Drosophila melanogaster: one gene and its partner. The protein of the gene in region 2 interacts with the protein of the main gene of each other region in a pairwise test. Each region holds a gene or a part of one and is shown on either strand. Other genes may lie near its edges.

Region 1 (3,755 bases), on a different chromosome or scaffold from region 2:
ATCGACTACTTTTAAGGCGTTAATTGTTAATTTGCTGATCTTATGTATCTAGTATATATGTACATATGTATACATGTATAAATACATGTCTGCACCTAAAAAGTGAAACTCTCTATTTGCCCGCTGTTATGTGCGTTGTTGGTCTATTGCATCGGCAGTGGGCATGGTATGCAAAAGCAGTGCGGTTGCAGTCGCTTCGCTCTTGTGTCATATGCGTTTGCGTTTCGCCGCGTTTGTTGTTTGTTATGTATCAATTTTTGTTGTCGGTGGAAGGAGCAGGAGCGTGGCGATGACAGGAGGGGGTGGCAAGGCTATATGCTGGGTTACCGATTAAAGTCCGATTCCTCGTCGGATTGCCCGCCGCAAAAACCTCGCTCTATCTTGGCTAATTACCTTTGCGTCACAGATAAGAGCCTGTCTACTTTTACTCTTCCAACGATTCGTTTGGTGGCCGAAGTGATATAAGCTCGCTCTAAAGTCTTTGGGGCGTTCATAGCTAGCTTCTTATCGGTCCAGATCGTTGTTAGACAACAGAGAAATTCCCTATTATTCGTTCATTTAAACTAACTGTCTAAAAAGGTATAGTTATTGTATGTTTTAGGCACTAAAAGAACATCAATTCTGTTCAGCATTATTTTTGTTAGCTATATACTAGCTATTAAAAAGGTCCTTGAAATAAAACTATTAAATGAAGTTTACTCTTTTGAAGTTTTCTCTGTATATGCAGACAAGCTCTGTTTTTCGAGGTGCCAGACCGCTGCTTACAAAACACTTGGCTGTCCATCCCCATATGCATGTGTATCTCAATTTCGCTGGGCGGCTGCACCTCGCAAATACCAAACTTAAGTTGAGTTTTAAGCCATCTCGAAGTTTGCTCTTGCAGCCTCAGCATCATTGATGAAAGGGCTGCCTTAAAGTGGAATACTTCAGCAGTTCCTAGTCTTTCTTTGAATTAGGTCTCTGGATGAAATTAATAACTTATGGTCATTTTCTTGTATTTCACTGACATTTAATTATATATTAAGAATATTCGTTTGCATAAGGTATATGATAACTCAAAAAAACATGTCCTTTGGATCCCACTACATGAATAAAATAAGCATTTGTCTTCTCAAAGTATTGTTCTTAAAATAAAATATAATTAAGTGGACATCCCACCACACCTGCCTTGCGAATGATCATGTGTCTGAAGTCCCCGTACGCGGAACACACCGAGCCCCATCGTAACCCCGCCTAGTTTGACATTTTGCCAGCTAGCTCGCCCATGGAAAGAGGGTTGCGTTGTTGGAATTGGAACCGACTTGTACTGTTGGCAAGTGCGCCTTGGTATTGGTGTTAGTATTGGTATTGACGTGGTCGTATGCTATAACAGTGCGATACTGCGGCGCTCACCTGGTTCACCTGGTCGTCGATTTGGATGCCTGTTGTTTCTGTTTTTGCTGCAGCACGCTACTTACTAGATGACTTGTTTGTTCTGCAGCCGAGGCAGCTTCGTATTTGCTCGGGGTCCGGGTTTTTGGTCTCGGGCTAGTCGGTTTTTGGTCTGGTTGGGTTTTTGGCTTTTGGACGACCGAACGAACGAGAGCGATAAGATTCCGTGATGTGGCACTAAGCGCTGTTCGTTGTTTACTGCTCTGTGCATGGGACGCCTCTGTTGTTTGGTGCCCGTCATCGTGGCCAGCCAGCCATAGAGGCACACTCACCAACACAGACGCACTGCGAACCCATACATATATAGCGCATGCCATCGTATACCACATATAGCGCGGCGACATCAGGTCGTTATAGTCAGTCTAGTTGGCATTTCGTGCTTACCTTATGCCGCTAACTAACTTCTTGATGAGCGCAAAAAACAGCGGAGGAGAAAAAACAGGCCTCCCGTAAATACCATCCATACCATACCTTGCCATACAACACAATACTGAAATGCCATACCCAGACCAAGACCAAGGCAAAGACCAACGGGGCGTCGGGCATCGGTGGCGTATGCGTGCTATTTTCAGCCGCATTAAAAGCTTATGGCCATGGCCAGGAAAACCGAGTCGCCGAGTGAAAGCACAGAGCTTGCACAGAGCCAAGCGTTGATAACTGGCCATATGTTACCCAATCCATCGCCAGCCAAGACTATGAATTCACTGAATATTTCAATTGGCTGGACATATCCTTACGCAATTTGGGTTACACTAAGTGCGCCATTTGTTGACCACACATACAGAAATTATTTGGATATGGTTGTAATGTATTTTAGCTTATTTTTATTTTATTCATGTATATCGGTTGCAATTATAAATTTAATTTACCGACCTCATTGAATATTAATATAATCTTAAAAAAAAGAAATGATATATTTATACAACCTGCGCAGTTGGAGCTAAAGCGTCCCAAGAGTCGCATATACCTAAACGAAACTGAAGTTGGACCCTTGGAGGAGCTCCCCTTTTCATCTTACAATCCGCGAATCCTGCAAGAAGGCTTAGAAGGAGAAAACCTCAAGACCTTCGATATCATTGAGGGCTGCAGTCCACAGGATTTGTGGACCTGGAATGTGGGCTACCAGAAGAGAGAGGAGCATATGGATCAGGAGTTCATATCCGCCTCCCTGCCGAAATATGGTGTGTAGTTAGCGAATAGAACTATCTTTTTTCCAAGAGATTTGCATTCCTAATCTAGGCTTTTCAAAATTTCACAGAAAACGACGGCGAACTTACGCTCTATAATATACCACAACAGCTGGAAAAGACGTTTACTGCTGAGATTGTGTTTGGGAATCGGAACATCTATCCTGAACCAAAGAAGGAGCCCAACCGTTTGCAGTGAGTAATCTGATTTCTTTGCTAGTAATGCTTAGTTACTAATACCCTCCAATAAAATATATAACTCCTCCTTACATTAAATCCAGGTACTATTATCGGCCTAGTGAAATCGGTGCCATTATAGTCGCTTTCGTAGAGACCTTTCGTTTGAATCCCGATTTCTGGACGGGATCTACAATGGATGGGATTCTAAAGCGCGGAGTGAAATTGACCAAAAAGAGCGCCGACCTAAACTACAAGTCAGACGTGAATGATTTCGATATAATCCAACAGGTTGCGGAACGAGACGCCGCCGTTGAGATTAAGATACACTTCTCGGGACTTTTGAAAAACGAACCAAATATGTACAAAGCACTTTCCCTATTCTTCTCCAAATACAATGCCTGCATCTTTACGTCCCGGGATCTCTTCCTGCTGATCTGGAAGCGCTGCTTAAACTCGTACTATATCTTCGATCCCAATGGACGTGATGAAAACTGCGAACGGAATTTCGAGGAGGGAAAGTGCTCACTGATGGCCACTCGCTATACGGAGCACTTGGTCCATTTGATCACCAAGTTTAGCGATCTGCAGCCGCAGGATGAATTCAATATTTTTGAGATATCGCTGACTCAGTATGGAAAACTTAAGGAGCCACCAATTAATTCGGCGGAAAACGAGGAGTATCACAAACTCTGGGCGCCAGTCAATGAGAACTTTGCTGTAAAAACTGCGGCCACAGGTGGCATTCACCAACCGATCTCCGGAAATGAGAAGAATGCATCGCTAGTTGTGTCATTGATAGCTCTGATTTACTCGGAATTTGAGCTAGCCAAGCTATGGAAACCGGGTACTGTGGATGACATCATAAGGTATGGTGTAGCCTACTACAAAACCCTTCGGAAGAAGTTCCGCCTGGATGGAAAACGCTGGAAGAATAAGAAGCCACATTTGAATGTGGTG
Region 2 (3,755 bases):
ATCAGGGAAAATCAATACTGCCAAAAACTATCCCGTTCGCCACAAAAACAAAGGAAGTTGGTAAACATAATTTAAAATTTCTGATTAACATTTTGATTGCATTTTACCCATGCTGACTTTTAATTTGCTTCGTGAACATACGCTAATTATTTTATAATAACAACCGGATTGAGAATCAGAATAAAGCCGCAATTTATTTATAGTCGCTTATTATTGCCATTTGGGTTGTTATATATTCATGTGATTCAGGTCTGAGCACCCAATACAATATTTTATTGATCGATGCTTAAAATAAAAGTACACCAACTTTAAATTTGCGCGTCAGAATCAACAAAGGCAACTAAAAATTTCAATTACCAGCCATCAGCGAAATCCCCCCCCGAACCATCCTTTATTTTCCCCCAGCAATTTTCTTGGAGGGTGCGAGACTTAGCGCTTAGACAAAAGCATCTTGGGGCCGAAAGCCCAAAGTGTTTTCTTTTCGACAGTCACATCCGCACCACGTTTTCTTCGTCGCTCACACGTGCAGGTCCTCATTATTGCGTGGGTTGTAGGATCTGGATGTTATTTACTTTGCCTCGTTTCCCCCAGTTGCTACCCCACACCCCCTTTCCAAAATGTTTTCCCACTTTTCCATACGGCACAGATAAAGGCAAACAATAGGAGTGTGCAGGCAAGTAGAATATACATTTATTCGGGCCCTATACTCACCAAGTCATTTCGGGAATTTTAATTAACTTGTTTAGATAACGAGCGAGTGTTTGGCTTATGAATGAAACGCAGGCCTGAATTGATACATGTCTGGCATGGCAAATCAAGAAAACGGTGAAATGCACCTATGAAGTTGAAGGGAAATTGACTTGTTGAAATTCCTGTTTGGAAAATGTGAGAAGCCAAGATTGCCATTTTGATCCAGTTGGTTTTAGTCGACAGCAATAATCTTTTCTATCAAGATTTAGTGGCTTAGTCTATGATCTGCTTAATTTTCATGGAAGTCATGTTGTTATTTAATTGATTACAGGAATGAAGCGAGCTGACAATTGCAAGTCAATCAATTTTAAGTGTTTGGAGTTACGTTTCAGGCAACCAGAGTGCAAAGTAATATATATATAGAATTCTCGTTTGAAATATTTCAAATTACAAATTAGTAGATATCTATAGGATATACTAAAGATACTCAACAGATCCTTAGGCTCCTTTCCACGTTTACCAACCAGTAAACTCACCAACTTGATATCAGTACTGCACTACTATTTATGGTTGATTTACGCACAAGTTTGCGACTTAACCCGATTAGTTCGCTAATTATTGATAAATTATCCTAATTGAGTCCGCCCGACTTTTGCAGCCAACTGGACTAATTGATTGCCCAGGTGTGGGAACTAACCTTGTGTGCTGTTGTTGTGATTACCGCCGTTTGAGTTGCTCTTGGAAAAGCTGCAGTTGTTGTTGAAGGAGTTGAAGAAGTTGGCGGCACCGGTGCGCCGTAAAATCCAAAACATGGTTGCAGGTGTGCAGCAGTGCAGGAGTGCGGTATCCTGATTAATGGGCTGTCGGAAAAATCCAGTTGATATGCTGCAGCGCCCTGAAGTAGGCAACGAATTATGCCAACTGCCTTTTCACCGACGGCATTTTCACGCGACGCGTTCTTGCGCTGATAAGCGGGCTACGGAAAATGAGGCGAGGACGCGACGGAAAAGCCCGGAAAAACTGGCGACCGTATCGTGTGGAAGTCTTCATCAAACTAAATCGACTTCGTTTGCGCTCTCGGATTTTATACCGCACGAAGGAAAATGAGAGCGAAAATTTCCGTGTTACCACGAGAGCTCTCTCCGTCTACGTGATAACGTAAGGACTTACGTTTTCCCACTGCTCTTTTGCTCTTTTGACGTCTGTTGTTGGGAAAACCAACGCTTGGCAAAGGCTAAACTTGACCTTCGTCAACACTTGCATGTCGTTTGGCCCGCTGGCAGCCCATAATTCGTTTTGTTTAATAAACGATTACGTATGCGCCGTGTGGACGAGCCTCAACTGTCTTGCGACTTCGGGCACTAAAACGTCCATCAATCATCGCCACCGGAAGTGGTCGCCACTTTGTTGTCCTTGTTTAAAGTTTTATATGCTTCTTATCGGGCTGTTCAATTAGACAGTGTCTTTTACTACTTTGCGCATCGGGAGAAAATCGTACAAAAAAGTTTAACAGTATATAAAATATATGCATGCACCTTTTTTTCTATCTCTTCCACTTTGCGATTGCTTTTAACGATTTTTCTGGTACAAATTTCCGTTCTTTGTGCATATTTATTTGACACTTTCCCATCAGTGTTTGTGACGTGGAAACGGGCGGAAATGCGGAACGGTTAACAGCTGGCAGCACATGCATCCGCATCAAAGTTTTCCCCTGATGGTTAACGCTGTGGCAAAAACAAAGACATCTCCATTAGGTTGGCGTGTTCGAGGGTTTCAAGTGCAAGTGCAAAGTTCATGTCCTGCGAATTCGTTTATGGTGCACGCGCGGCGGCATTAAAGCGTTTTCCGAGCACCCTCGACTTAAATGCCGCACAACAAATGGTTTTCCGCAGACAAGACTGTGATTTGATGACTCGGTTTCGGTTCGCCGATTTCTGCTGCTCGAGCGGGGTTAAGTTAACCCGATACTGATTGCCGGGGCTTGGATGTGGCCGCCACGAGGGCAGGAGTCGCCCACACACACACACACACACACACAACAGACAAGTGACATACGACCCACCTTTGTGCGCATAGTAGAGCCTAAATTTAATATTTAATCAGCGAGGGCTGGCGTTTAACAATTCAAATTGCTGCGAATTGTATGTTCTGTGAACTTTTGGCATTGGCGACATTACGAATTCATGCGGTACGTGCCAAAGTCACAACGAGTCCAAATGAATCCAAACGATTCTCCGAATATGTTTGAACTTTGCGAATATGTTGCGCAAACTTTGCCCCATAAATTATGCACTATTAAAAGCTCATGCATAAGGCATGCCCCATGTCCCTGCAGCAAAAACAGCAAGGACCCTGGACCAGAAATAATAACCGCAACAAAGCATTACACATGGACGGCAATTAGGTTCAATTTCGATGGAAATGCATGGCAAAGTAGTCACTTATGTCCAGTTGATGTAATAAATTGTTGGCCATGGAGAACATGACATTTTGGAATTCGATTAGTTTAAATGGCAACGAACGTTGGTTAATCCTTCAACATGATGTAATTTCAATTGGCAGATAATTCCTTTGCGGTATGCAAATTAAATTAGCTATATACAGAGAAGTGCTTCACACAACGCCAGTTATTTAATGCTGTCCACACAAAGTTTTCGACTTAAGCATAAACAAAGCTCTGAAAAGTTGGCAAACTTGCCACAATCAATATTGATGGAAATTCAGTTTACTTGGCTATTTGAGCGTCTTGGCGTAGAACTTTTGGTGCTTGAATTTAATTCGCATCACCCAGCTGCAATAAATTTATTCAAAATCATTTAGTGTGGCAATGGATAGCCGCCATACTCACCCAATCAGGATGAACGCTAGCCCGTAGAAGGCGGCGCTGAGGAAATTAAATCCTCCAGGATTGCTGGCCAGGGATTCCTTATAGATGGCCGTGTAAAGAGGGGCGGCGACTGGAAGTGAAATATGATGGATGGGGGGCAGGTATTCAGGGAATTTCAAGGGGACTTACCAAAGGGCGCGAACGATTGTAGGATGTTGCCGATGGCAAACAGCTTACC

Evidence for each region. The genes of interacting proteins can lie anywhere in the genome.
Region 1: the proteins of CG11317 (region 2) and ebd2 interact in a two-hybrid assay, tested with the Drosophila melanogaster proteins (one large-scale study listed by BioGRID).

What each region holds. Positions count from the first base shown.
Region 1 is NT_037436.4:21,347,650-21,351,404, forward strand, and holds the start of ebd2 (earthbound 2), read right to left. Parts: upstream 1,640-3,755; 5' UTR 1,393-1,639; intron 1-1,392. Other genes in the region: CG32436 (uncharacterized protein), read left to right, coding at 2,366-2,612, 2,690-2,813, 2,900-3,755.
Region 2 is NT_033777.3:31,095,568-31,099,322, forward strand, and holds the start of CG11317 (uncharacterized protein), read right to left. Parts: upstream 1,755-3,755; 5' UTR 1,503-1,754; coding exon 1,388-1,502; intron 1-1,387. Other genes in the region: CG15553 (uncharacterized protein), read right to left, coding at 3,424-3,481, 3,539-3,647, 3,707-3,754.